Linked DNA regions of Oreochromis niloticus. The protein of the gene in region 1 purifies or fractionates together with the protein of each later gene. This does not show direct contact. Links are inferred from orthologs where the notes say so. Each region holds a gene or a part of one and is shown in the gene's direction. Other genes may lie near its edges.

The links.
Region 2: the proteins of sart3 (region 1) and lsm8 purify together in Homo sapiens (affinity purification with mass spectrometry; 4 studies listed by BioGRID and IntAct, counting the BioPlex papers as one, with this or other methods). This does not show direct contact. The link is inferred for Oreochromis niloticus from reciprocal best matches to the Homo sapiens genes SART3 and LSM8.
Region 3: the proteins of sart3 (region 1) and smx5 purify together in Homo sapiens (affinity purification with mass spectrometry; 3 studies listed by BioGRID and IntAct, counting the BioPlex papers as one, with this or other methods). This does not show direct contact. The link is inferred for Oreochromis niloticus from reciprocal best matches to the Homo sapiens genes SART3 and LSM2.
Region 4: the proteins of sart3 (region 1) and ppih purify together in Homo sapiens (affinity purification with mass spectrometry; 3 studies listed by BioGRID and IntAct, with this or other methods). This does not show direct contact. The link is inferred for Oreochromis niloticus from reciprocal best matches to the Homo sapiens genes SART3 and PPIH.

What each region holds. Positions count from the first base shown.
Region 1 is NC_031977.2:18,325,366-18,333,253, forward strand, and holds the start of sart3 (squamous cell carcinoma antigen recognized by T-cells 3), read left to right. Parts: upstream 1-4,813; 5' UTR 4,814-4,839; coding exon 4,840-5,040; intron 5,041-6,350; coding exon 6,351-6,477; intron 6,478-6,568; coding exon 6,569-6,673; intron 6,674-6,757; coding exon 6,758-6,942; intron 6,943-7,189; coding exon 7,190-7,295; intron 7,296-7,702; coding exon 7,703-7,827; intron 7,828-7,888. Other genes in the region: tmem119a (leucine-rich repeat transmembrane protein FLRT3), read left to right, coding at 460-1,830; iscua (iron-sulfur cluster assembly enzyme ISCU), read right to left, coding at 2,350-2,441, 3,857-3,935, 4,045-4,155, 4,236-4,349, 4,518-4,619. UniProt on the Homo sapiens protein: U6 snRNP-binding protein that functions as a recycling factor of the splicing machinery. Promotes the initial reassembly of U4 and U6 snRNPs following their ejection from the spliceosome during its maturation.
Region 2 is NC_031981.2:20,046,286-20,053,066, forward strand, and holds lsm8 (LSM8 homolog, U6 small nuclear RNA associated), read left to right. Parts: upstream 1-4,084; 5' UTR 4,085-4,272; coding exon 4,273-4,303; intron 4,304-4,870; coding exon 4,871-4,911; intron 4,912-5,254; coding exon 5,255-5,382; intron 5,383-5,905; coding exon 5,906-5,996; 3' UTR 5,997-6,277; downstream 6,278-6,781. UniProt on the Homo sapiens protein: Plays a role in pre-mRNA splicing as component of the U4/U6-U5 tri-snRNP complex that is involved in spliceosome assembly, and as component of the precatalytic spliceosome (spliceosome B complex).
Region 3 is NC_031986.2:32,801,417-32,809,371, forward strand, and holds smx5 (smx5), read left to right. Parts: upstream 1-4,952; 5' UTR 4,953-5,070; coding exon 5,071-5,073; intron 5,074-5,258; coding exon 5,259-5,326; intron 5,327-6,491; coding exon 6,492-6,522; intron 6,523-6,618; coding exon 6,619-6,678; intron 6,679-7,413; coding exon 7,414-7,539; 3' UTR 7,540-7,875; downstream 7,876-7,955. Other genes in the region: inpp5d (phosphatidylinositol 3,4,5-trisphosphate 5-phosphatase 1), read left to right, coding at 2,021-2,218, 2,347-2,771, 2,866-2,897. UniProt on the Homo sapiens protein: Plays a role in pre-mRNA splicing as component of the U4/U6-U5 tri-snRNP complex that is involved in spliceosome assembly, and as component of the precatalytic spliceosome (spliceosome B complex).
Region 4 is NC_031984.2:24,225,288-24,232,604, reverse strand, and holds the start of ppih (peptidyl-prolyl cis-trans isomerase H), read left to right. Parts: upstream 1-4,314; 5' UTR 4,315-4,450; coding exon 4,451-4,516; intron 4,517-7,233; exon of another isoform or gene 7,234-7,317. Other genes in the region: taf10 (transcription initiation factor TFIID subunit 10), read left to right, coding at 77-209, 1,637-1,794, 1,943-2,007, 2,787-2,901, 3,047-3,136. UniProt on the Homo sapiens protein: PPIase that catalyzes the cis-trans isomerization of proline imidic peptide bonds in oligopeptides and may therefore assist protein folding. Participates in pre-mRNA splicing.

The sequences.
Region 1 (7,888 bases):
AACAAGTGACACCTTATCATGGGCTTTTAAGACGTAAGAAGTGGCTTTATAAATAGTTTTGGCAATTCCATGAATGGTTTTTACACTCTGCAGCTCTTTTCCATAAGGTCATTACATGTACCAGAGTGTGCTGGTGGAGTACTGGTGTTAATAAATGGTTCATTAACCTATAATAAAGCTGCTTTTGGCTGTTTCCTTATTCACAAGGGATTACCACAGCAGATGGCTCCACGTGTTTGTTTTGGCAGAGTTTCTATATCAGATGCACTTCCTGATGCAACCCCAGTGGGATTTGGCTGTCCTTCCTGGATCAAACCAGGGATCTTTCAGCTGCTTATTAACCTTTAATAAAGCCATATTATAACATTATACCCCTTCCTTTATAGAACTTTTAGAGGAACCATATCCTCTAAATGCATCTAACTGCTCTTCTGTCCTGCATTATTCTTGCAGTGAGTCATGCTTTGGTGCAGATGTGGTGTCCTGCTGGCTCTCTGCATCTGTCCTCTAGCCTGCCTTGCAGTGTCTCCCTGTCCTACTGGGTGCTGCTGCCCTCGCCCAGGATTTCTGGTTCTGTGTGAGTCACTAGGCCTGAGATCACTCCCTCGCTCGGTTCCTCTCAGTACCTCAGCTCTATCTGTGGCCAGAAACCAGCTCTGTAATGTGGACCACCAGCTCTGGCCCTTCTCCGGCCTCCAGGAGCTTAGCCTCAGTCACAATCTGCTAGCCCGCTTCCCTCGTGGCCTGCCTCCCAGCCTGGAGTCCCTGCAGCTGCAAGAAAACCGCATTACTTACATCACCTCAGGTGTCCTGAGGCAGCTGGGAAACCTCACTCGCCTGGACTTAGAGGACAACCGTATTCGTGCCATCCAGCCCGGGGCACTTCAGGGTCTCCACAAGCTGCAGGTCCTGACACTGAAGGGGAACAGGCTTACAAGTCTCCCCCTGAATCTTCCACCATCACTGACCCATTTAGACCTCTCAGAAAACTGCATCTCTGCCTTGGACCTGCCCTCACTGTCTGCTCTGGTCAACCTGCAGGTCCTGAAGATCAACAGCAACTGCCTGCGGTCAGTCCCAGAGAGCGCCTTCGACAGCCTGCCACGTCTCAGATCTGTGGACCTCACCAACAACCTGTGGGTGTGCGAGTGTGACATTCTATATCTGTACCGCTGGCTGCTGAGCGGTAGGCTTAAGATGGCCACAGACATTGTGTGCACAGAGCCTGATCATCTTGCCCACCGTCTGCTTCTGAATCTCTCTGTCGTGGCCATTTGTCCTCGTGTCCTGAAGCCAAATGACAGGACACATGAACGTGACCTCAGCTCTGCACAGGAGAGGACGCTAACAGCGCAGCCAGCAGAGAAAATATCAAAACTAACCACTAATGGACTGCTTTCCGAAGCTCTAAACAGTAATCAAGACTCTCCCAAGACACGTGTCTTGCACTACTCTTTAGAGACTCTTACCTATGAGGAGTGTTTATCCCTAAATAACAGTCAGTCAGTCAGCCCCTTCCATTTAAAGACTACTACTTCTCTCCCTGAGGAGGAACAGAGGTGCAGAGACAACATCACAGCTCGATACCCTCAGAGTAATGTAACCCCTGCTGAGGGGACACAGTTCTTGCTTTCCACACACAGAGATGCACTCGTGCCCACTCTCGTCCCACAGCCGTTCACTCAGCAGGCCACTGCAGCGATCATCTCTCTGCTGGTTGTGCTGTGTGTGTTAGTGGCTCTCGTAATGCTGGCAGTGCTGCTCGTGCTGAAAAAGGTGCTCGTGCGTCAGCAGAGGGTAGCTCCTGCTGATTCAGGATCAGCAGGATGACATTTACACACACACACTGAAAAGTCTTTTAATCTGTTTATTCACAGTAAGCAAAGCACCTCATACAAATTTTCTGAACTTTTTTTTGTATGTAAACTTTAACTGTTGACATTCTCATACCAAGTCTTTCATCTGGGACCTAAATTGTCTCACAAGTGAGCCAGATAGAGCCTCATAGCCAAAATATACAAACCCACACCCCTGCTTCATTAAAGATGTCTTTAATGCTGTGTGTATTAAAGTGTTAAGCTTCACCATGAAGTCATTGTTAATTAAACAATTCTAATTGTGTGATAAAAGCAAAAGAATCCATAAACGCTATTAACATCTGGCACTTGAACAATATGGGACCCTTGGCTTAAACTCAAGAGACTGATCCCACACCTGTGGAGAATTCCCCAACGGATGCAAGATCCAATGTGATGTGATTACAGCGACCCGTCTGCACTGCTCTGGCACTAGGAGAGGCATGATCCAACAATAGGATAAATCTATTATTATAGACAGTGAATAAAAGCATTAATTGCTGGCTTTAACACGTTCCTCCTTCTTGTCCTGTTGCTTTAGCCGGTAGTCTGACAGTGCTGCTTTTATGGCATCTTCTGCAAGCACTGAAAAAAAAAGAAGATTTTAGAGACACTATGAGCATAATATGGAAAACAAAAAGCATTCAGTTCATGATAACTGGGCGATTTGATTTCATTTCATATAAACATTATGTAGGGGTGATTAATACAGTCACTCATTCATTCATTCATCCATCCAATCTTCCATAGAGTGCAAGATGGGGTACACCATGAAGAGGTCACCAATCTGTTGCATGGCTAAGACACAGAAACAGAGCTATTCACACCATCATCAGTTAACCTATAGATGTGGTCAGAAGTTTACACTTGTCGTGGGGAGGAATGTCATGGTAATATGGGACTTTTAAAGATTTCTTTGAACTGTTCTTTTGAATTTATTTTGGACTTTCTCTGATTCACACACAGGGTTAAAAGGACACAAACGGGATCTGGTAACTGTGACTTTGTCATAGTCTGGAAGAAAACCCAAACTGTCACCCTCAGATGAGAGGAAATTGGTTAAGATGTTCAGAAACAACTCAGGGACCACTGAGGCTCAAGCCTGCTAAGAACTCATCAAGTCATTAAAGATTTTCCACCCCGGAAAAACAACAGTTCAAAGAAATCATTAAAAGCCCCAAATTACCATGAGATTCATGCCAATGATGAGTGGATGTAACGTGTGTTTGGACTGTGGAAGGAAACCAGAGTACCCAGAGAGAGCCAACACTGTTTAGAGATATATTTATTGTACGTGTAATCTCATAACACTGTTAAATATCACAAAAACAATACCTAGAGGTACAGCTACAATTTTCATAAAATCCAGTATCACTAGAACGTACAGGATTTTATCATCCCCATGGCTGAAATTATATGATTTATTACAGGAAACACCTGATCTGAAAGCATAAATGTAGGTGCTTTCAAACAGAGCAAGAGAAAGAATTTGTCTTGGGAAAAAAAAAAGAATGGTGTGCATGGCCCTGAAGCTATTTTGGACACTTAACAGCACATTTTGATCTTAAGTAGGTTGGACCAGGGATCTTTTTGTTGTAAAGCTGTTCAACTACATATTTAATCCCTGAGATAGCTTAATGTAAGAAGAAAAGTGCAATTTAAATCATATTTCTCAGGTTTTCTACACAATTAGGAAATGCTGATATATTGAATTTAAGAAATCGGCCAGCATGACACTTTGTGCTTAAGTGGTAAGAAATTGTTGTCTTTTTTGTTAACTGACCTAAAATATTTTGGTGTAGTATGAATGGCCACAGTGGAGATCCTTTTATTAGGAAAAGCTACAAAACTTGAAATGAAAATACAATTCACATTTTCCAGTGTGAGCCGGACTGAAGTTTTTGCTGGCCCGATTCTGCCCCCCGGGCCTTAGATTTGATATATGATATATATTATGACACCCCTGTCTTAAGAGATGTTAATAACGACTGTGAACTTACTTGAGCAGTGAAGCTTGACTGGAGGAAGGCAGAGTTCTTTGGCAATGTCTGTGTTCTTGATCTTCAGAGCATCGTCAACCTGTAGGGCAAAAGCAGATTCATGAGACCCTTTACAATAGAGTGGAGAAAACAGCACTTTTAGGGTCCATTTTTTGGTTGCCTGTACTTTGTTTGGTACTTTAACATACCGACTTCCCCTTCACCCACTCTGTTGCTAGAGAACTGGAAGCAATGGCCGATCCGCAGCCAAATGTTTTGAACTTTGCATCGATGATCTTTCCATTTTCATCCACTTGGATCTGCAAAGAGAACAGAGTCAAACATGGGAATTTCAAATACATGATAATGGATTGGTTTCTGTTACTGACTTCCAGTTTACCTGAAGTTTCATAACATCACCGCATGCCGGTGCACCCACCAATCCAGTCCCCACATTCTTGGAGTTTTTGTCCAGGGAGCCCACGTTTCTCGGGTTTTCATAGTGGTCCACAACCTTAGGGAGAGGCCACACTTATCAGAAAAAATATATATCTCTGTTCTCTTGGTGTAGCAGCTGACAGACAGGGCACTGTTACCAGTTGACAACAACACGATAAATGTCAGCTAACTCTTTCTAAGTAAGGTGACGTCAGCGGGTTTGGACGCATTTTCACTCGGTTACCTTTTTGTGGTACAAGCAGACAGCGCTCAGCTCCGGTTTGAAAATCCTCCTGCTGAAAAACAGCAGCAAGGACGAGGAGCTTCGTAGGCAGACGTTCGCCATGTTTCCAGCACCAACTGCGAACGGAAATCAACGAGTGAGCACGAGGAAGCACGAACGGCTTTTGTTGACAAACAAATAAGAGAAGAAGGTTTTACACAACTAGGGAGCGCCCACTAGCGGCCACGGGCGAGGTTAGACGGTGACCCGTGTTGACGGGCTCCGCCTCTCATCGTCCCGCTGGCTGCTAGCAGGCTGTTACCAGGCAGATAGCCTTTCCAACATGGCAGCGTCAAGCAACGCAGAGCAAACGCAGTTGCAAGATATGGAGGAGGAAGATGCAGGGATGGAGGAGAGGGAGATGGAATCGGACGAAGACGAGGAGGAAGGCATGGGAGTGGAAAATTCAGACGAAGACGAGGAGGACGATTCGTCAGAGGACGAGAAAGAAAATGAAGCCGAGATCCAGCGACTTGAGGAGCAGGTGATTAGCCAGCGTTAGCCGAGGGGCTAATGAGAATGAATGGGTGGTAAACACGGCCAGCCACAATCGGGTAGGCAGCGTCAAAGCGGCGAACTCCTCCGTCATGACATGGTCGAGTAAAGGCAGAAAATATACGTGGCGTTGGTAGCTCTCGTTAACCAAAAACATCTAAATATACAACCACGTCATTTACATAGCTGTCGTGATTAGCTGCCCTGCTAATGTGCGATGCTAGTAGTTCGCGTGCCTCGTATTCACACGCGCCTTTTTTCTTGCAGTCTCGGTCCACGGTGGGATCCCAGCGTTTAGTGTGGGTTAGAAACAAAGTACAGTACAAACAAAAACAGTACACGCTGTGCTAACTTTAATGAGCGTCACGTGATCAGTGGGTTTGACCCCTTCACATAACATTGAATCTGCTGTAGTCTTAAGTACGGAGAGTGCTGCTGCAGCTTCGCTGGTGACTGTGTAGTAGGTGTAGCAACCTACAAATACACTCAAATATAGATCCAACTGCATGACTGTACACGAGTCCCTCTGCGAGCATCAGTGTGTGGTACTGCTGACTGTACTGTGCTATATACAGAGATATGTTTTAAATATTCAGTCTCACTGATGTAGCACAAAAGTCCAACAGATCAAACTGCAACCCACGAAACTACCTGAATTTTCAGTCAACAGCTCAACAAAATATGAACATATGCTCTCATGAAGGAGTGGGTTGAGTTTTATAGTTTGTAGTCTTGCAGCTGTTAATAATAAAGAAGAACAACAACAATGTTATTACACTTTAAAAGAGAACTCTCATAGTTCATTACATGAATTATAAGTGAACTTTATTTTCTTTTGTGGTGGTAATAAATTGGAGGTAAACACATAAAATAAAGCATGGATTGTTTAGGATACACTTTGTTTAAGTGCAGGGATTTTTCTGCATATAACAGATTTGTATTTTCACCAAAGAGATCTTGGCCTGCCAACAAGCTTCATGAAAAATATTTTTAAATTCATAGAGATATATTAAATAAGGTAACACACTTTTCCTACATGCAAACCAATTGTGGCAGTTGATGTGTTCACCTAAGAAACAAAAGATCCCTGGTGGGATCCTGGGAGAGGTTGCGTCATGAACGGTAAAAATTCGGCCGAATCAAATATGCGGAGCTATCTGCTGTGGCGACCTCTTGTGAATGCGAGAACAGCTTAAAGTAGCTTTTACATGCCAACCGATTGTGATTTTGTGCCTACAAAACCCCTGAAGTGCATTGTCACATATCTCATTCCTTCTTCATCTTTGTGTAACTCCTCAGCTGTCCATCAACGCTTTCGACTACAACTGCCATGTGGATCTTATCAAGCTGCTCAAGCAAGAGGGGGAACTTTTCCGCCTGCGAAAGGCGAGGCAGAAGATGAGTGAGCTTTTCCCTCTCACTGAAGGTTGGTGCACGCCTGACATGCTTCTGGGGTTGGAGGAATAAGCGGCTCTGCATTATTTACAACTGAAACCTTGTTTTGTTTAATCCCCCAGAGATCTGGCTGGATTGGCTCAAGGATGAAATCCGTCTGACTGAGGAGGAGCCAAACCGAGAGAAAGTATATGAGCTGTTTGAGAGAGCTGTTAAAGACTATATCTGTGAGTGCGCAACACCATCGCCACCACCTTCCGGCCTGATGATTAGTAATTACACAATCCTAACATTTAACTTTACACACACAGGTCCCGATATCTGGCTTGAGTACGCGCAGTACTCGATCGGCGGTATGGGCTCACCGGGCGGAATCGACAGGGTGAGATCCATCTTTGAGAGGGCGGTGACAGCAGTGGGGCTTCACATGACCAAGGGACAGATGGTGTGGGAGGCGTACAGAGAGTTTGAGAACGCCATCCTGTCCACAGTGCAGGTTTGTGTTCCCGTCACTAGGACAGAGTTCACCATTCACACATAAGCTATGTTTGTGTTTTTGTATTGATTGTGTACATATGCCATATTGTCTTAGAAATTAAAAGCTAGTGTAAATAATTTTATTTCCATGTTATTGCTGTCAAATATAACACTTCTTCAGTTCAGATTGCTGACTTGAATTCTTTCCATGTTTGACTGAATGGCTTGTGCTTTAACACCATGTTCTCTGCTGGCTTTCCTCTCAGCCTCCCCCTGGCAGGATTCCCAGCCATGAGGAACAGGAGATGCTGAAGACCCAGCTTGAGCGAATCCATACACTGTTTCGCCGACAGTTGGCCATCCCTTTAATGGGTAAGCATGACGTGTCTTCTGGCCAGACTGGTTGCTGTAAAATGAGACAGATTCCTGTTGCGAGAGCCATATGTCAGAAATTACCCGGTTTAAAGAAAGTTATGACGCTGGCTTTTAGGATAAAATTAACATGTCAGGGTGACGAGTGCACTCCTCATTAGTTTACTAGAGAGGTAACCGGATGGTTTGGTATCGTGTTGTTTTTCTCTGAGTGGAGAGCCGTGCCGTTTCTGAAACATTTGAATCTCTAAATTTAAGTAAAGCAACAGATAAAGTAGAACATTTTGCAAAACTGAAAAATGACTATTGACTGTGTAATTATTTGCGGTGTTTGTATTTTTATATCCAATCTTGAAAGAGTAAATTTCCTGCAAAATCTGTGATAATTGTGCTCTGCTGCTTTGTAGACATGGAAGGCACCTACGCAGAATATGAGGAGTGGTCCGAACATGGCGTCCCTGAGACGGTTATGCATCAGTACAAGAAAGCTTTGCAGCAGATGGAGAAGTGCAAACCGTTTGAGGAGGCTCTGGTAATGCACTTTGCTAAATATGATGTCCATTCGTTCTGTGTAATGTTTTTAAATGATGTTG
Region 2 (6,781 bases), on another chromosome or scaffold:
TGTGTGTATGTTACACGTTAAACACAAGGCCAGTTAAGCCCCTCCCACCTCAAGTCCCACCCAATCTACCCCCTGACCAATAGGCAACCAGGATGATGGACGGCAGTTCTGAAAAATTCAGCTGATTGGCTGGAACCAATCAGAAACATAAACATTTCCTTCCCTGCCTGTCTGTGATTGGTTCTTTTTCACACACAAAGACAACCAATCAGCTTCCAGGAAGAAGCCACGCATGCCCCTACCCCGACTTCCCCTCCCCATCCCCAGCCCCAGTGACAGTGATCTCTTATGCTAATCAATTGGTGTGTTTTTTTGATTGACTGTTGTCAATTCTGTTTGTTTGTTTGTTTCCATGGTGACTGAACCAGAAAATATGTAAAATAGATTTAAAAAAAAAAAAGTTCAGTCCCCATCGCTGTTCACATCAAAAACCATCAAACCCTGAAAACACCATCTCATAATCACAAAAACTATGTTACAAAAGAAAAAAATCCTGTTAAAACAGGAAACCTGTGACGGTAAACACTTGTGTGTGTGTGTGTGTGTGTGTGTGTCTGAGAGAGAGTGAGTGAGTGTTTATTTTCGAGTGATGTCAACATCTTCCTGCTCTCACCTTAGTCTTAACTCACTATTTATAGTGGCCAATCAGAACCCTCCCTCAGCATCCCTGAGCCAAACAGTCCAATAGTTGCTGCTGTGCTTTGGATTAGAGCGTTCTGATTGGCTGTTTCTATGTGGATAGTTGTCATTGGCTGTTCTGTTCTACCCAAAATTTTCTAAATGCTCAGATGGGTTTTTTTTTTTTGCAAGCAAATGGCTAGTATGTAGTTAGCATTAAGCTAGCAGACGCAGAGCACAGGGCTAGTGTAACCATAATTATATACACAGTACAAGGGAACTACTATCCTAACTATGTTTACTAGCTAATAAACATAGCAAGAGACTTGTAAGCACATGGGTAAAAACCGCTAACCAAAGATAAAATTTAGCCAACATTTTTTTATGTTAGCACACAGCTAGCCCAGTACCAGCACAGTCTGTGTATTGTTAGCACAAACCTTGCACTTCACTAAGGTATGGTTAGCTGTAGAGCTAAAGAATGTCTTTTAGCATCTTGACTATAAAAAGGCTGAAACAGCTCTATTGGTGGTATTCCACTGACACCTGAGTAGGCTAACTTGATCTAAGGACATAACTATCATATGGCTAGCAGACACTGAACAAAGGGCTAGCGTAATCATAACAGACATAACACAAGGACCATAGGCTGGTTGTGTTTGATATCCATTTATTATTATGTTTATTGGCTAATCACAAAGAAAGAACTTGGTTGGCATATATTTAAACAGCTAGCCAAGGCTAACATTTATCGTAACATCCTATTGTATGTCAGGACACAGTTAAGCACAGCTCGTGCCCATTGTTAAAATCAGGCTAATGTGTTAAATAAAGACTTTTTTCTTATTTGCATTAGGCTAACATAACAGATAATAGAAATACATTTTAGCATATGACCAGCAGATGCTGAACACAGGGTTTACGTAATACAGACAATGCTAACATAAGGGTATTTTAGCTTCATTGAAAATCTCTTACTGATTTTTGGCTTATGTTAATGCATAACTTACATGTTGATAACAGAGCTATAATATAGCTTATGGTTAGTACTAAGTTACGGTTTCTAATTTTAGCAAAAGCAGTATACCACACATCAAATTCAACTGACAAGTGAGCAGCCTAACTTGGTCTGAGGACATTACTAACATATGATTAGTATGTATCTAGCAGACACTGAGCATAGGGCTAGTCTAACCATAACACATGACTATACACATAGAACAAGAAAATTAGGCTTTCTATATGTAACACCCATTTCTTGCTATATTTATTAGTTAATAAGCATAAAAATAATTTAATTAGCATATGAATAAAGAGCTATCCAAAGCTAAAGTTTTTATGTTAGCACACGGCTAGTACCAGCACAGCCCTTACAGACCTTTAACATAGGGCTTACATTTGCAAAACAAAGTTTTTCTCTTGTTAGCAAAAAGCTAACATGGGAGATAATAGAACTACAGTTTAGCATGTGGTAGTTGATGCAGAGCATTAGAGCTAACATAACTATAACATGTGGCTAGTTGCACATAGTACATGGATGGTAAGTTAGCTGTACAATTTTTCAACACTTATTTACTAGTGTGGTTACAACTTAACATAGCAAGGGCTTGGTTGGTTTGTAGGTAAACATAAGAGCAAGGAGCTAAAAATGTCTGCTAACAAGAGAGTATGTCAGTTTTATGTCAGCCTCTACTGATTTGTGGTTTATGTTAGCACATGAGTAACATGAACTATAATTTAGCTTGCGGCTAGCATTTAGGCGAGGTAGTAGCTACAGGTTGATTAAAGAGACCTAACAAGGTCTAAGGAAATGGTTCACATTGCTAATACAGAGCTAATGCCTTGAATTCAGGGCTAACACGTAGATGTTAGTGTTTTAAGGTTCAGCCAAGAGAACTGCTCCACCAATGGGAACAAGCCACAGGGCTGAGGGGTGTGGCTTCACAAGGGTTTGATGAGTGAGACCTAAAGCCATACACACTGTGTTTGTGCGCATGTATTAACATTACCATGTGTGTGGGTGTGTATTTGTTAGAGCCTGTATGTGTGAGTGTGTGTGGGTGTGTGTGTGTGTATGTGTGTAACATTGCAGGGATTTGCACTCTAGTGATTCACCTCAGCAAGACATCCACCCACCTACAACCACACACACACACACACTAACACACACACACACGTGCATTGCACTGCCATTTGAAATAGTGGGTCAGATTAGTTTCCATGTAGCTTCACCAACCAACCAAACTGTATTTTTCTTTAAAGGAACAGGGATGTTGTAAAGTATTTTTGTACAAATTTAATACTTTGGTAGCATGACGTTCCTGTTGTTTGTCCTGTCGGGCTCCACTGCTCTCCTCCACCCGCCTTTGTATGGACGATTACTGAGCAACAATAAAGATGAAGACCTGCTGGGAGAACTGGACTCTGTGTGTTGTCTGACATCAACACTCACAAGTTTGATTTTTTTTTTCTTAATACATATTTCATTTTATGTCTTTGACAGAAAGAAAAGCAAATTTGATGACCTGCCTGTCTATCCTGTGCTGAAAATTCCTCAAATACATCTTACCACTCATGGTTACCACTATTTTAATTTTTCAAAATTACATTAAAGTGTACGTAATAGTTATGCATTTAGAGAGTATTAACTAGATTTCCTTAAATTATCCAAAGATCTCAAAACTGTTTTATTCCATGTTAAGCTAATTTTAAATGCTTAATATTGTATTTGGTAGTTAAATAATACGGTAATGGCTTATATTGGTAAAAATCATCATAATTTTTTAATCATCCTTTCCTGTGAGAACCACATAACAGTAAAAAAAAAAAGAACTTTTCTAGTAGTAAGTTAACAGAGCAGTGCAGGATGTTCTTTGTCACGTGGACTTTTCAATGATTATTTTTGAGGGTAATCATCATTGTAAAAAATTTAGGTTTTTCAGAATTGTTTAAGGAATTATACAACAATGACCAATTTTCTTGTTTGTTTTTTTCTAGTTATAGGAAATGACATCACGTCCGGTGTCCATTTTGTTTGTGGATCACATTTGTTTATATTTCAGAAGAGTCATAAATATTTTTACTATTCAAAGAAGCATCTGAGGGCTCTGAAAATATATTGAAATAAACAGGAAATGATTCTTAACTATGATGGAGCATAGGAAGGAAAGAAATATTTAAAATCATTTAAGATAGTAATTAAGGGATAGGGTGAAAAGCGAGAAAATAAACTCAGATGTTTTAGAGTCATTAAAGAAATAGTCAAAAAGAATAGTTTATCATATAAATTTACCAATTTGTATCATAATTTTGTGTCTTTTCTCTTATAAACTTGTCATGTTTTCTAGTAAATTTGTCATTTTTTTCTTTTGCATTTCCCATTTTTTCCCACCTTTTTTTATTTCTTTAAATTTTGCAGTTTTTAGTGTTTTCTTTTTGAGAACTAACACAAACCGGATGTGACGCTTCCGCTCGGCGCTCTGCTGTCGTTCCTGCTCACTGTTTGATTGCTCTAGTCTGCGCTCCAGTGTGTTGTTAGCCGTTAGCTACTGCTGCTGTTCGAGTGCGCACGGTTTTATTTTGTCACCGGACTACCACTATAAGTATTTATCGACCACCCCACTGGATAAATAGACACCGAGCCCGGGACAAAGGATGTCCACTGCGTTGGAGAGCTACATTAACCGTATCCTTCCGCCGTTAGCCACTAATGTGCAAACCCTCTGAATGAATGGAAAAATGCTAGTTAGCTTAGCTGCATGCTTACTTGTTTTGTTAATTAGCGGCAGTTCAGAGATGTCTGTGAGAAACGGGTTGTTCAGAGCTGAGTTAAAACATGTTCAGACTTCTTAAATGTAGATTTCACATTTAAAATGAGGGAAATCTCGGGATTTTATTGCCGTGTTTGTATTATGTGGACCCGCTGATCAGAGAAGTTCTGTAAATGATTTCACAGTTTGATTCATGTTAAGATCACACATACACATCAGGACTCATCACATCTGGACCACTTTGAAAAACTGTAAACTCTTCTTTTTTTTAAATTTTGGAAGCATGCAACTTACAGTTTTAAAGCTGGAGCTCATTAACAGACAGAAGCTAAGGTTACAAGCGCCTCTTGTGGACAGAATGGGTGGGCGGCATAGCTTTCAATTTTGGTGTTATGATAATTGTTCTTATTTGTACGTTCTGAATAATATTAGAGAGGTTTTGGTCCATAAAGGTGCTGTTTCTTTAACTCGTGCTGATCCAGGTACCGTGGCCATTGTCACCTCGGACGGCAGGATGATTGTGGTGAGTCTGAACACATCCTTACCTTTACTGGACGATCACCCGGGATCAAAATCACTTTAAAAAAAACTTTTAATCAATTCTTAAATTATATTGGAGACAAATGCATACCGAAGACTGGTCAGAGCCTGGTGTGTTTAAAATCGTGTCATACACAAGCAAGTGCACCTGGAAGCAATGAAAGCATTAAAGTCGTTATTCATTTATATTTTAAACAGCAGTGGGCCCTGCAGAACTTCACCACTCACAATAATCAGGATTCACTGAAGTCAGAATTATTTTGGATTGTAAGTTATTGTTATTGTAAGTCGTGTCCTCATTGATTCATGTCAGTTTGTTTTTTCAGGGCACTCTGAAGGGCTTTGATCAGACCATCAACCTGATCCTGGATGAGAGTCATGAGCGAGTGTTCAGCTCCAGTCAGGGGGTCGAGCAGGTGGTGCTGGGACTCTACATTGTCCGAGGCGACAATGTGTAAGTCACGTTTGACCTTTGTTGATGATGAATCAATACTGAAGATAACAAATTAGTAAGGCCTTAATGTGAATTTTAATCTACAAAATCAGATTAACATGGTTTACCAATTTTATTATTTTATTAAGATATAATTTGTTATTGCAAAATGGGGTAATTAATAATTAGGAGTTAAGAAAAAACTCCCCTATCAGAGTTTTGTTTTTGTTTGTTTGTTTGTTTGTTTAAAATTATTTTTATGAAGGAAAACCAAGAGAAAGACTCTTATTCTTAAACAAGGAGGAAAATGATGTGTGGGGATCCATACCTACATAGATAGATAGATAGATAGATAGATAGATTCGTTACATTGTTTTATTTTAATGTAATGTAATGTTTAAATATTGTTAACAGTTCTGTTATGTAATTTGTTTATCATTGTTTATTGTTTTCCTTTCATATTTTATTTGTTCTTCTTGTTTGTTTTTGTTTGTAATCCCCTCGTTTGTTTTCTTGGTTGCACTTTTTCTTGTTTTGGTTACAGAGCGGTGATCGGGGAGATCGATGAGGAGACGGACTCCACTCTGGATTTAGGAAACATCAGAGCTGAGCCGCTCAACTCTGTCGTTCACTGACCTTTGACCCCTGATGATAGCGTAACTGTTGTGTGAATAAAGTTTATGGGAGTCTGTTTTAGGAGCAGGTGTGCTAATTATCCGGGATGAGCCGGAGCGTCCTGATAACTTGCTCGCCTGCTTCCTGTCTCTGACTCCTGGCTCTTGTTTTCTGTTTGTACTTTTTATAAATAAAGAAGTGAGATGATGAAAATGTTAGAGGAACTTTTTTATGCTCCTAAGTCTTTTTGTCAATGTGAGACTGTTAATAAATAAAGTTTAATTTGTTGTGTTCTGAAAAAGAAAAGCGTTTTTGTTGTTTGTTTACTCAACAAAAATGTTTGACAAATTATATTTTTTAGTCAGAGGATATTGATCAGAGGAAAAAGTGAAAACTTTATGAGAAAGAAATTAGATTCTTAAATTTGAGAAGAAAAGGAGAAAAATCGAATAGCTTCTGAGATAAAATATGCCACAACCAAGATTCAGTTCTTCAAGAAGCGATTTTTATTTAAATGAAAGATCTGCAGAGCCAGCAATAACATGACAATTCTAAATGAATCCTTACATCAGTCACACGTCTGAGAGCGGGGAGGAAATAGATGGTGGAAAGATGGCGCGAACACTAAAGGTGTGAGTAACACTGATATCAATGAAGTGACAGATCGATAAATACTGAAGTTTTACGTGAGGGCCATGGCGAGGAAAGCTTAATGGTTAAAAACAGCTGGATAAAATCACCTGAAGACCAGATAAACTGAGGTAACAAGTTTAATCTGCCTGTAGGAACAATGTGAAAGCTGCTG
Region 3 (7,955 bases), on another chromosome or scaffold:
ATCACAACTTCATAAGAACAGGAGATATGCTATGGCTGAAAAACATATTTAACCTCTGCAAACAAATGAGTTTTACACACACTGGCAAAAAGTCAAAGTTTTATTCAGCACAGATTTTTTCTGTACCTGACTTGGAGCATCACCAGTTTGATGTCTTTCTTTGACATAGAGGAACTCCGGAGAAAGCTTCAAAAAGTGTAATATGGTTAATTTCTCTAATCACCCTGTGGGATAGGTGGCTGCACAAACATACAAACATATGAAAACCTCTTCAAGCTGTGATTCTTTCTAGGTCAAAATAATTTTCTAATATGGTCATATTTTAACATTTTTGTGTATCTTATGATCGCCCTCTGTGATTAAAGTCATTCAAAGAGTTTGAAAAACCTCTTCAGAACCTGAAAATGTTTGATCAGTGTGCATCTGTAAAGACTATTATATGGAACACTGTGCACACTGGAGTTTAAATTTAATTTACAGCCATAAACTACACTTGTAAGTGTTAAAATATGACTATGGGAGAAAGTTTTGTGACACAGATGAGCCTGTTGCGTGGAAGTTGATCCATTTTTAATACTTTTGAATCTTTGCGATGTATGGGACATCATATGTTGCTGTTTTCTCACAAGCATCTGATGGGTGGCTGTAGGATGACTTTGGAAATCAAGAAGAGGAAATGAGTGAAGACAGGGCTAGGGATTAAATGGTGGAAGTTGAAGAAGAAAGAATGATGCATAGAGTTCAGGCTGCAGTTGAGACGGGCTCTGGGTGGTAGGGAAGGGTTACAAATGACTGGAAAAGTAGAGTAATGAAGAAGTAGTGAGGGAAACTTCCAGGAAGGTGTTGGACGTATCCTTTGGATAGAAGAAAGCGGACTAGGAGACATGGTGGTGGAATGAGGAAGTACAGGAAAGTATTCAAATGAAGAGGTTAGCAAAGAAAAAAATGTTGTGAAGTCAGGGAGATGAAGAAAGTCGACAGGAGTATAAGAAGGGAGGATAAGAAAAGAGAGAGGTGGCAAAGGCTTATAGTGAGTGTGTATGAGTCTGGACATGAAGGAAGGGCAAAAGGACTTGTATAAATTGGCTAGGCAGAGATGGATAGATATACTAACAGATGAAAAGAGTGTGTTGAGAAGATGGAAGGAGCTGATTGTTGTAAAACATGAGAGAGAGGAGGGCAGATGGATCAAAGCTGGTAAATCAAGAAGTGCAGAGCATTAGTGAGAGCAGCTATGAAGCACAAAGAAATCCATCTGGTCCCGATGACATAGCTGTGAAGGTATGAAGATGGAGGGCAGGGGACTTTCTCACCAGATTGTTTCACATCATCCTGCAAAGTGAGAGAATGACCGAGGAAGGGAGAAAAGGTTAGCCAGCACCAATTTTCAAGAACAAGGGTGACGTGCAGAGCTCTGACTACAGGGGGATAAAGATGATGTGGCATACCATGAAGATAAGAAAGCTGTTGAAGCTAGTTAAGAAAAGAGGCTGAGACAGAGCTCTACAGATGGGATGTTTGTTTTAAGATGTTGATGGAGAAGTATGGAGAAGGTCAGGGCGAGCTGCACTGTGCCTTTGCGGATCAGAGAATATGATAGGCTGATGATAGGATGCCAAGACAGGAACTGTGGCACTGATGGGTTCATGGTGGGGGTGGGATTACATCAGAGATCAGCTCTGAGCCCCTTCTTCTTTGCAGTGTTTATGGAGAGGTTGACAGATGAGGTCAGGCGGTCGTTGTATACGCGATGTTTGCAGATGAGACTGCGATCTTTAGTGAGAGCTGGGAGCAGGTGGAAGAGATGCTGGAGAGATGGAGTATACTCTGGAGAGAAGATGAATCAAAGTTAAGAGAAGCAAGACAATCCATTGTCATGCTGGTGGCATAAATCGCAGCTATGAGACTGCAATTCAAGTTTTTCTGTTGCCTGATTAATTTTGATTGCTGGTTTGGACCATCAAAACTACCCAGGGCGTGATTTTTCTTTCTTTTTTTTCTTCTTTGTTCTGGTTGACAGGTTTTCTAGCAACCAACCACATGATATTTCTAACCCCAATTACATGGGAGTGTCATTCAGAGGCGGGAATGTGATAGATAAAGGCTGGAGTTACAGCATGCCACCGCGAAATGTTACCTCTGGGGGACAAGCAGGAAAAGAGCCAAAGAAGGGTTACGATGTGAGCACACGCAGCCCCACGGGAAAGCCTGCTTCTGTGTAAGTGTGAGCCTCTTTCTGGTTTGAAGAGACTTCAGTTTCATTTCTAAAAATACCTCCAAACCTTTATCTGATCTGATTCTATAGAAAGGGAAACCAATGTCATTAACCGATGATTTCTCTGACAGGGGTGAGAACGGAAAGACATCAGAGATGTTTGACAACCCGTTGTATGGTTCAGTGACCAAATCACATGGTCGGTCTAAAGACCAAGACCAACAACAGAAGGACCATCTCATACCCCCAGATGTGCTATTTGGATCCTCCAAAACAGCAGACGGAGATACCGATCGCCCTCCAGTGCCCACCCCACGCAACCGCTCCTTCACCTGCTCTGAGAATAAACCTCAGCCTCCAACACCAGTCAGCCTGCATCCCCCATCACAAAAGAAACCAGTGGTGCCCTCACGCTCAGAAGGCGGGATGGGCCAAAGCCGGCCTCCTTTGCCTGCTAAGTCCCGACCGGGTGTGCCGGAGCCCCAGACCCCCAAACCAAGAGACTACAGAGACACCTCAGAGCTCACCAGCAAACAGAGACCACCAGGAAGACCTGGTGAGTCTTGCAAAGACAGCAAGGAACATCCTCAGGTTTCCAGACAGCTATAATACACTAAATGACATCTCTTTGTCTTTTTTTGTGCATCCAGACGTTTCCAAGATCGGTCGCCCTGTGAAGTGAGACTGAGAGGTACACCTTCCTGGCTGCATTCCTGGAAATATTTTTTAAAACCCCTTGCTACTGGTGTCACTCATTTTAGAGGACAATCACATATCTGTGCTGTCATTATAGAGCAGTCAGTTGGCTTAGCTTTGCACCTGTCCAAAGGTCTAAAAAATTCATCTGCCTGTCATCCTCAAAAACTCACTTTTTAAGTTAGACTGAGCCGGGCTAGCAGTTCCTCTTTATTTCCAGTCTTTATGCTAAGCTAAGCTAACTGGCTTGTAGTTAGCTTAGTTATCTACTTATCTAAGTGCTAGTGAGACATTAAATGGGCGTACCAGTGTCTAACTCAGCCTTCAAATGTATGTAAACTCATTTTTTAGTTTCTCGGACTTCTGCAAAGCTCACATTGGAACGTAAGTTTGAACCTGGAACCTGCTTCTAAAATAACTGTTACATTTCATTTGGAGTTTTTACACTATACAGTAGCTGATGAATGTTTACCGCACAGTATTATCTTGCACAGACATGTTTGCCTTTAATATGTACAAATGATGCTCCAATGAATTCCAATATTAAAGCTTGAATTACATGTTTTGTGTGTGTGTGTGCATGTCTTTTTTATGTCAAGTCACAAATGACTGCTTTTAAAACTTGGAGTGTTGGCCGCTGCAATCTGCTGCGAAGACCAGACCGGTCACACTGCAGTGATTTGCCTCCATCTGCTGGTCCGTAAAGGAACTGCAGGCAGTCTGAGAAGGGGCCTTTCTAGCTTGGTGTTACTGGAAATACATCTACATTTTCTCTTTAATCAGCTGTGACTAAAAAGGTGAGGTGGCACAGTTCCTGATGTGCACTTTCACTACAAACTGCTTCTACTGCTACGCCTCTTCATTGTTGTAAGGCTGCAGCCTGTAACCTCCACCCATCTCGCTTTTGTGCCTCTGCTTTTGCTCCTGTTCCCATGAGAGACCCGGCTATTGTAGCTCAGCCAGCACACTCATCTCTCGTTTGCCTTTCTTCCTCTTTCCATCAAAGGGTCATGCTTACTACATGTTCTACACACCTTAAAGCTCCTCATCTTTATTTCATGACACATGTTTACACACCCCAGTTCTTCTGTGCAGCTCCATGTTTGAGTATTTGTTTGGCTGGAAGATGCTGCATATTTGGGGAAGACAGTCAAAAGACACGAAACTTTCATCAGGTCACCAATAGTTATAGACATGGTTGAAGACGTGTTGGTGTACATTGGCTGTGTTTTCTTGGTGTTGATGTTGAGGCTAACAGCCGAGCCAGTTCTGTTGGTTTAGTTGGTAACTCTTCTGGAACTGGCTGAGGAGAGAAGAGCAAAGTCTTTGATGAAGTCCAAGTGTGTGAATGTACTCCACTGCATATATTTTACACATATGTTGACTTTAAAATATGACTGATATAACACCAGCGGTTGCTGTGTTTTCCACCCTGAGTATTTGAGAATTAGAAGGTTTTCCTTACCTTTCATGTTATATGTTGGAAGTTTATAATAAATGCATCCAACGTTTCAAATGACTTCTTCTAGGAGAGGGTGTGGGTCCTTAATTTAAAAAACCCAAAACAAAACATGAACTTTCTAATAAAAATGACTTTTAAATTATATTTATTTAGTTTATGTAGCAGAAAAAAAATGCACAATGCAAAGACAGCTGCCACCGTAGTCCCTGTAATTACATTTCTGTAAATTTGTTTTTTCAAAATGTATTTTGTATTTTTCTTTGAACTTTGTCATTGTCACTTTGTAATTGAATTTTTGTTTTCAATTACAGACAGTTACTGCATATTTATTTAGTCTTTGGTTGCACCAGAAAAAAAGAGTTTGTATTTTCCATAAGCAATTTTTTTTAATGTCAACTGACAGTGTTAAGCTTTTTTTATTATTGTCTCTTTAAATTATATTTTATTTTATTTTATTGAAATATATTTTCATATGAAGTTTTTATTTATTTATTTATTTTTTTGAAATCACAATAAAATTAAGTCAATTAGATAAACACCTGTGCAAGCAACGTTTCCCATACATGAACGTTGAGCTTAGCTCTGTCGCCTCTGTGTGGCGAACTTTAGTAATTACACCCTGGTGTGTCTCAGAAATATTAAGGGGTTGTTACGTCATCGACAGGCGACGCGCGGCTAGGAGAGGGCAGCAGTAAGAATGGTAAGGAATCACGATGAAATTATGACTTTTCTGTAGAGTTTATAGCAGATACGTACGGCCGGAGAGAGCCTCTGACCCGGGCACACCTCGGTGTGTCTCTGTGACCTTAATTCTGTCAGCTTTAAAAGAAACCGGCCGCAACGCTAACCGTGCAGCTAACGTTAGCATGTGTTTCTGCTCCGCAGCTTTTTTACTCGTTTTTCAAGTCGCTGGTGGGGAAGGACGTCGTGGTGGAGCTCAAAAATGACCTGAGGTTAGTATTCGTGTTCAATTCGCTCACATAACCTGCCGTTTTCCGGCCTGTGTTGTTTGGTCGGCGATCGCTGTTTGGAGCTTTGTTGATAGACGCAGCAGCGCTCCCACAGTCACAATTTGAATATTAATTTTTATTAGTTTTCATTTGAATTTCACTTCATTTCATTGCAGCAGTTTTTAATACTTCTCAGCTTTAGTTCCGTTTTATTGGATTCTGCAAGAATAATCCAACACAAACAGATGACTCTCAATCATACACATTATCAGAAAGTCAAGCCAACAACATTTCCTGTGTGTTTTACTCTGTGGTTGTTCAGTGAAAGGCCTTAGACAGCGATCAGTGGGCTCTGGGTCTTCATTATGAGCTCAGCACTGAAATATTTATTACGTATTACTGTAGCTGTCACTGTTTAAATGGAACTAATCTGCATGAAACAGTTTTATTTCTTGTAACTGGTCACACTGATGACTGATGAAATGATTGTCGTGGTTGACTTCTTGCTGGAGATGTGTTTTGTTTTGTTTTTCTCAATAAAATCTGAAGTGACTTCAATTGAAACTGGACTAAATGTAGCTTAAAGCAAGATTATGAATCCAGGTTGCAGCCTGTCAGGTCACAGCCGCATAATTACATTTGTTTTAAGATTAATTCAACTTTTATATGTCATAGACGGAGTAGATCAAACAAACTACAATAAGATTTTCTTTAAGTCAAACTGTTCCCGTCTCGGGGTTAAACTCTGGAGCAGGGTCTTGATGCTTGTCAGTAGTGACGGTTTTAAAATGTAACAACAGGTTTGTGCTAATGCCTGTCGTTTCCAGAACAGCTTCTAAAATATGTGCAAGTAACTGCAGATGTGGACAAAACATAGATGTATTAAAAATATTATATTTTGGTGATAATTCTTATTGTTTCACCACCCAGACCTGTGGAAATAAATGTTTAAATATCCATAAATTAATCAATAAGTGGCATGGAAATCCTGAGGTCAGAAAGAAAACCTCAGAAGTTGCGTTTGCTTTACCTGGGCACACCTGACCGTAAATTCCACCCAAATACTGATGAGCTGTTCCCAAGCCTCATAATCTAAAGATTAATTGAGCAATTTTGGTTTGTATTTGTGAACAGAGTCATGTTCATGAATGTGTGTTTCTCTCCTCAGCATCTGTGGAACGCTTCATTCTGTTGACCAGGTTGGAAATAATTCATTTGTTTTAAAACGGAAGCTGTTCAGCTTTTACATTTCTGCATGATTGCTCACTAAAATGCCGTTTTCACATCGCTTTCAGTACCTGAACATTAAGCTCACAGACATCAGCGTCACAGACCCGGAGAAATATCCACACATGGTAAGTTTTGCTTCTGGAGACTTTCCACATTTAATACAGGGGAAAAAAAGACTAAAGAAACAGATGAGGCTGTCGCTGCTAAACAGGTGTTTACAGTTTTACAATGTACAGAAAAAAGAGCTGTTGCAGTGTACTTACAAGGTTTAAGGTTCTGCTACAGAGGTCTGTACAACCAGTAAAAGAAACTAAATTCTCTGCTGCTGTATGTGAGAATGTAGAAATGTCGCCCTTCTACCTGATGAACCTTTTGATTAGATAAATATTCCAGCGGTGAGAGTGCACGCAGGACTTCTGTTTTCCACACAGAATGATGCATGATAAATATTTAGGGGCTCAATTATCCCCCAAAAAAGACACACAGACAACAGCTCCTCCCGAGTTTATATACAGATATGTTTACATAAATATCTTTTACATTGATTATGTTTTTCATGTATTATAACACATAAAGCTTTCAAGATTTCAGTCTTTGTTTTCATCTTGTATGTGAGCTCCATTTGCTGCTGCTCAGTTTTTATTGAGGTCAAGAGGAAAAAGAAAAGTTGGATATTTTTATAATACAACATCAAGAATATAACTATAAACTTTAGCTCCTTATTTAAAAGTTGCATAAAATCAGAAACGAGTTCAGTCATTAGGAAAGTCCTTGGATGTGCACTCCTTAAAGCTCACCAGCAGCTCCAGCACAGAGTGACGGCTGTCTGTCTTCACACTGACTGTTTTCATTTGCTGCAGCTGTCTGTGAAAAACTGCTTCATCCGTGGATCGGTGGTCCGTTACGTTCAGCTGCCGGCAGATGAAGTGGACACTCAGCTGCTGCAGGACGCTGCACGGAAAGAAGCCATGCAGCAGAAGCAGTGACGGGGCTGCGGGGCGGGGTGGGGGTGGGGGGGTAAGGAGAACAATGAATGGGTAGTTCTGGTTTTGGGTTAAGTTTGTGCAGCCTCTCTTTGTCTCTGAAAATGTGTCTTTGACATTGGGGATCAGTCATTAGCAGTTTTTGTTTTTTTTAACCTCAAAGACGGTTTGGACGTCGTCGTTTGATCCCTTTTTTTGGTTTTATATAGAAGTAAACTAATCAGAGAGTCCAGAGAGGAAACCTGCTGTGATGTTCATGTTGATGATAACAGGCACACTTTGCTTATCAAATTGTGGCTTTTTTTATGCCTCTTGGAAATAAACATTATTTTATTTATATTTTCATGACGTTTGTGATTTATTAATTATTTTAGGATGATCTTGGTGACATGTTGGAGGATTTGGGGTTTGCTGTTGAA
Region 4 (7,317 bases), on another chromosome or scaffold:
TATAAATCGCGGATTTGTGGTGTTTTGCATATTTCGGTGCTAGTTAACCACGGTTAGCTCGTTAGCTAACGCCAGCATGAATATGGACAACGTAAATCAGTCTGTAACAACAGGAGTGCCTTCTACCACATCGTCAACGGCAAGTAATTGCATTGCCAACGATAATACGACAACCAACGTGAGCAGCATCCCGTCGGTCACGAGTAATGGTAACGTAACGTGACTTTGTTATTGTCTTTGTTATTATTCTGAGAGCATTTGCTGATTTCATCTCGCACTGGAAGTCGAAACTTTCCACGATGTACATTGACTATTGACAACAATACCAAGCCTGACTGAGAGAAACGCGTACTAACCTAAACACCATCAGCGAAACCTACCTTAATGCATCAAAGTGTAATGCATTAAGGTAGGTTTTAGACGGCAATCTAACACTTTAAAGTGTTAGATTGCCGTCTAACACTTTAAAGTGATTTAAACATATTAATTACAAAACCTACCAAGTACCACGTTTCAGGTTAAGCCTGTAGCACTAACTTAACCATTGTAGCAATTTTTTAGATTGTTTGTACAGTACTTTGCAAAAGTCTCAAGCCATCCCTGATTTCTTTATATTTTGCAAGGGAAAATTGGAAATGGGTGCAGTGCATTGAAAAATGTTGGTATATAAGGCAAAAACAGAGTTTGTGCAATTCTAACAAGCTTGAAAATAAAGTGAATATTTGATATGACCACCTTTATTATTTAAAAGGCCTTGAATCCTCTCAGGCAAGCTTTCTTGTAGGTTCTTTAAGTAGTCACAGAAAGTTGATTCTATTTATCTGACTGTTGAGGTATGTTGTGTCACTCATGCAAGTGACCTCTTCAGTTTCAGCTGACTGTGGGGTCCCGCAACTGATTAACTGTTAGGTCAGTTTCCTGATTACTAATATACAAATTGTCATGATCATTGATTAATGGCCATGAGTACTGTTTAGAGAGAGTTGGGGAATTAGTGATGGTGGAAGATGTTCCCTTAGGCCCCATCCTTAAAATGGATTTAATTTTCATGTAAAAATTGGAGACTACTTCTCTAAGTACTCTTTAGCAATAGTTCTCCAGGCTTCTTGAATTACATCTAAAGCTTCTTTGGATGTTGGCTGCCTTTTGCTCTGTTGTCTGTGAAGATGGTCCAAGACTGTTTCAGTAAAGTTGAAGTCTGGTCTTTGGGATCCTGATCCATGACTGATAGTGCTTAATTGTATATTTTTTCTTTCCAGGTTTTTTTTTTTTTTTTTTTTTTTTAAATGCATTAGCAGTGTGTTTGGCATCATTGTCATGCTGAAAAATGAAACTGTTTCCAGATGGTATTTTGTGGTGGATATCAAAATCTAACCCTATTCAAGTGTGTTTATAATTTCATCAACTTTACCAAAATCCTCAACACCACTGGCCAAATAACCAAGCAGCAAAAGCCACAACTTATCCTTTAGGTGCGGATGCACAGCTACACTCTTTTGATGATACCAATGTTCACATTTTGGACTGACAAGACAGATGGCATTAATTATTTTCTTTTTTCCATGCATAGAATTCGTCTGATCTCCCTCGCATCTCAGAAGTTTATCTCAGACATTGCTTGATGTGTCTTTTATAGCTTCATCCTCATCAGCTGTGGTGACACCGTCTGCAGACACATCTGTTTCCAATGGAGTCTATGTTCCTGGTGGCATCACTAATGGAGATGTGAAGCCTGCTGTTTCCACCACGCCACTGGCTGATTTCCTCATGCAGCTGGAAGAGTACACTCCCACGGTAAGTCAGTTAGCCCCGCTACATCATACTTTCACACATTTTTGACAGAAATGTTTCTTAATCAGTCCTTGATTGGTACATGTGCACTAATAATATTAGTGACATATACATTAGTAGTTATTCTTTGTTTTTGTTTTTTTCCCACCAGATTCCTGATGCAGTCACAGGTTACTACCTCAACCGGGCTGGTTTTGAGGCTTCTGATCCAAGGATGTGAGTACATGCAGTGTAGTATTCAGATCTTTTGGCATCTGCAGGGATGCATGGATCTAAGTGATAAAAAAAATGTCATCAGAGGCAAATGTGAGGGTGAGATGCACTCGATTCTGCTCTAATGTCAGTGTAATGTAATGTCTAATGTAATGTCAGTAAAAAACCTCCACCTGTGCATGTGTCCTTTAGGTAGACTGAGAAATTGTATACTAGGAACAGCTTTGTATCTGTCAGTGTGCACACATGGAGGAGTACATTACAGCACAAATCATAAGGCTGCTCATAGTTGGTACGTTCAGAGGTTTGATTGATAGCCACCAATTTACTTAACAGCTGACTTAAAAGCCTTTATATAATATGAGTTCACCAATAAAAACCTTAGTTCAAGGCACTGAATGAGTCAGAAATTAATGTAATCTGGCAATGGGAACATGTTGAAGTCACAAATAAATGACTATATTGTCATAATTTAAAGAATTTCCCAATGGTATACAGCATTTCTTATCTTAATGCTGTATTAGTTAGGTTGCACCGTGCTTTCTGATGTTACAGGGAGTGTTGGCTGATTTAGATTTGCTTAAAACAAACTGGCTTTAACCTTTTAACCAAAATGCAACATCTCTAACCTTGTAAGACTCGTTAATGTCAGCTTTGTGATCACTCTGAACAAGATCATAGAAAATCTGAGGTTTATGTGTGTGGTGTTTTTCAAAATAAGGATACAGGTGGGCTGTAAACATCAAGGGAAAAAGGTATTAATTATTTTCTTCCATGCATAGAATTCGTCTGATCTCCCTCGCATCTCAGAAGTTTATCTCAGACATTGCCAATGATGCGCTGCAGTACTGCAAAATGAAAGGCACTGCCTCAGGAAGCTCAAGAAGTAAGACAAAGGTAAGCTTGTCTAATTTTAACAGGCACTTTAACTACGATGTACAATATTTAGAGAGCACTGTGTGAGTGTTGCTAGAAGAGGAACCTTTCATCTGCTTTCAGTTATTTTTGCTCCTGATAATTTTTTTCCTCCTTCTCTGTATAGGATAAGAAGTACACATTGACTATGGAGGACCTGACTCCTGCACTCGCAGAATATGGCGTGAATGTGAAGAAACCTTATTACTTTACATAAAACTCTTTCTTTAGAGCTTTTTGCTATTGCTAGTACTTATCTTCCTGCTTTCACAGCAGTTTGTGACAACCTGTATTGCTATTTTCTTCTCACCTTGAGTTAGTACAACTTTGAGAAATCTTTGCAGTCAATTTGCATTTGGTCATTTGTTTTGTGGCGCAGTCTTTGCAGTTTGTTAATTTGTAAAAATGTTGTTTTATTGTGAAAATAAAACCTTTAACAGAAAGATTTTTCCCACAGAGGTGTCAAAATTAGTATAGCTGATCTTTCTTGTATGACTTTTGTTCCTCTGCCTTACACTTCAAAATACTTCAAATGTATTTTGCTGGATTCAGATCAGGGGCATACTTTGTCATAACTTTCTCCCTTTTCTTCTTTAAAACAACTTTGGTAATTGTTGGTCTGTCTGGGATCATTTTCATTTTGGAAACTTCCCCACTTCCAAAGCTTCTTCAGACTGGGAGCCCTGCTTAAATATATAAAGTTTCATGTTTAATGCTGTCTTAAAATATTGTCTCAACTACACATCTAGTAGTCATGCAGCCTTATAGAATGTGCACACCTACATCTATATATATCCTGGCTGACAGTTCCTCGTAGCCCTTGCTAGATCCACATGAAACCTACTGCATCTATCATTTTAGGCTTTGTTTTTTGGTGAGGGTTAGACTTTCAGTTTTGTGAACAGCGATTTTTTTTTAAATTTTTTTTTTTTCCTTTATGGATGCGGTCCACGACAGCTTTGTGTGATGTTCTTCACAAATTTCAGATACCGGAGCAGAACTGACACTCTGGAATTCAAGTGATTGAAAAAATTGATCTATTTTTGTATTGTATAATTAGTCTGAATGGGAATTTTCACGTGTAAAAGATTTTTGCTGCTGTATTTATAAGCATAGATTTGAGATTATAGATAATGCTTTTTTAATTAAAACCTGTACTAAGTACCACAACCTTACTTTACCAGTTGATACACGCTTAATGAATTTGACATGGAAAGGACTATGTTATAACCAATACTTGTAAATGCAATTATTTTTTTGACAGAAAGTAGAAGTAAAGACAAATTCAGTCTTTTTTTTCTGTTAACTGTTCATTTTTTACGCTGCTATCAGCAGAAATCTCGCCGTAATAATTTATTTCCGCACAATCGCGCTTTTGGTGACGAAAGTCTTTTGTCCGCAGAAGGGATCCGTAGCACGTCTCTCGCGAGACGCCGTAGTTCCGACAGCGCAGATCGTGGTTCAAATTATTGCTGTGTAAACAGCCAAAAGTTGCATTTTTGTTGTCTCAGAAAGCGGGTAAATCACGACAATGTCGATTCAAGCCTCAAACCCCAACAACCCGGTTGTGTTCTTCGACATTACCATTGGAGGGCAGGTGAGTAGCATTATAAAGACACTTTGAAGCTAACCGGCAACGTTACCGCGTCTCCTCAGTGGCAACAATAAAGTTCATAGTCTGGTTAAACCCTTTTAAACGACCTTGTTGTAGAACATACACGCCTGATATACATTATATACAATAAGACTGGCAAAACGTTTATACTCCTTTTCATTATATACGGCTGAGTTTGTTGAACTAAGGTTTGACGCGGACAGTGAAAGCACGTCGACTTTGAATCGAACATATCCCAATGTTGTTCAAAAGAATACCCCCCGCAACTAAATGCATATCAGTATGGTACGATAAATTAGTTAAATGACTGTTATTCATCTATTGACCCCGTGGAACAAGCTGCATTTGGAGAAATAACTTTTTGAAAACCTTAGATATCTCTCTCACACGCACACTTATAATGACTTAGTGTGTATATAAACTTGGGAATTATCCTGTATATGCTTCTTGGCCTATTTATTTCCACTTAAATGGTACCACATTTGTTTGAGTAGTAGAGTTGTGTCTGTGGGTTGTGCCCATTAAAATCGTTTCCAATGCCAAACAGCTTAGATTGGTTGATTAAAATCTGAAGAATCAATAGATCCTGGCAATTTATTCTTTGAACAAACAGCAGCCTTAGTAGCATGTGGAAGAACCATACACAACCACACCGACCTGGCACCTCCACCTCATGCTGATCACATACTGCTGTGGGATGGCATATTATTCTTCAATCAGCATTTGTTGCAAGTCATCCAGTGTGGTTGCGTAGGTCACTTTGGCACCATCCTCTCCACACCCAACTGATCACATTGCCTCCACCAAAAGCTGGTATCCTATTGGTGCAGCAATCAGCACAACGTTCTTCGAGTCTTCTCCACAAGTTGACCTATGATCCAGCCGATGTAGGAAGAATTTGTTCATAGCTGAACATAATGTTTTGTCAGGTTCCAGTGGACATGTTGCTGACGCCAGTGCAAATAGGCCTGATGGGGAAGAGCAGTCACTGCAAGCCTCCAGGCAGCCCTATGAGTATAGAGACTGGCTGTGTGCTGTCTGCTCTGGTTTGTCTGGGTAGAAAACTGTCGGCCATATCGTCCTGAAAACCTTGACTGCAAATCTGTAAATGACTGTCAGTGCTATGGTGACAGGCAAGGAAACTGTCTTGTGTGGTGTTGTTGTCTTCAGATGCCCACTTGGTCTCTGTCATCCCCCGTTATACAGATCTTGGCCTTCAACTTGGAGATTGTAGGGTGCTAGGGCTCACTCCAAGTATTGCTTGTTTTGCAGAACTCCTTCTTGAAGGTACCATAGCTAGAGCAGTCAAATGTAGCATGCTTGGAAAAGACAACATCTGATCACTGTTGCAGGGTTCTTGCTTATGGGTACTTCTAATCACTTGCCCATGGCACCTGAGTGTCAAAACTAGAATCAATAGCAGAATAAGCTGTTTGGCATTGAAAAAGAAGACAAACTCTACTCTCCTGCTCAACCCACACATGCATTTTCCTTATAGATGTGGCATCATTTAAAGGAAAATAAACAGGATTTCTGACAGTTTAAGATTTAGTGCCAAAAAACATTGTTACAACAAAGAAGTAATTGACCAAACAAAAATGTCCTTACTTTTTGTGCAAAGTTTATATATGTATGAGAGTTTGTGTGTGTGTGTATTGAAATACAAGTAGGTGTGCAACAAATTATTCATAAATGAATATGTATTTTACTTCTTTCTGCATTGATTGTTATTGGCATTGCCATTTAAGCTTACATTATTTATTAATGTATTTTTAGACATATTTATTCTAACATATTTTTAGAGTTTTTAAAAAGAAGTAAATAGTCCTGAAAGTCAGTATTATTTTTAGCTTGTTTTCTCTGGTCCTTGTTATGAGCCTGCCCCTTAATAACTAATAGGTGGAAATTTGATCCCATGAGCTGCTTTAAAGACACTGCACCCAGTTGCATATTGAAGCAGGAACTGGGAAGTATACTGGGAATTTTATACAGATAAATAATAAGGAAAATCAGATAAAAGCTGTTTAAAACAGAGACACCAGGAACTGCTATACTCTGGCATTGATTAGTTATATTTTTTTTCTTTTTTTTTAATGAAAGTGACAGAAGTTTCCTTTAACATTAAAAATGAACCCCTATATATAATAATAATAATAATTATTATTATTATTATCATAACCTGCCTATGAAAGCATTAAAATAATACACAAACTCTAAGTACCGTATTATGTTAACATGTTAGTTAAGTGCTCTTCTTCCTTTTTACTTCATTTTCCTGAATTCTCTAGTTGAAGACTGTTCCATATTTAGGTTTGCTTAAGACTTTGACAAATAAAATATGTTAGCCTAAGAAAGGGGAATGTCAGTAGTCAGTAGTGCTAGTAGCGACTGTTGTTACATAGAATGGTGGTGGTATGAAGTTTGAACTACGTGTACCAGCTACAATACCAGCATATTGTAGTTTTCCGCACACATCTGTCATCTAAAATAATTACAACAAAAGAAAAAAGTCTTCACGAGACCCCTTTACTCATAGTAAGCACCCTTATTATTATGATATGGTTAAGTCAAGAAGAGATGCGTTTTTAGTTACAGCCAATTACAAAATCCCACTGTGAGGTCTGTTCCAGTGCGTTCAGTTGTGTTATCTGAGCTTCGTCAGCAGATGGCGTCAGTGTTGGATTTAAAGCTTATCTTTAAGTTTAGTTTAGTTTATTCTTCAACTTGGAAATAACATATGATGGAAGAAAAGATTACATTCAGGATCCAAGGTCGCTGCTGAT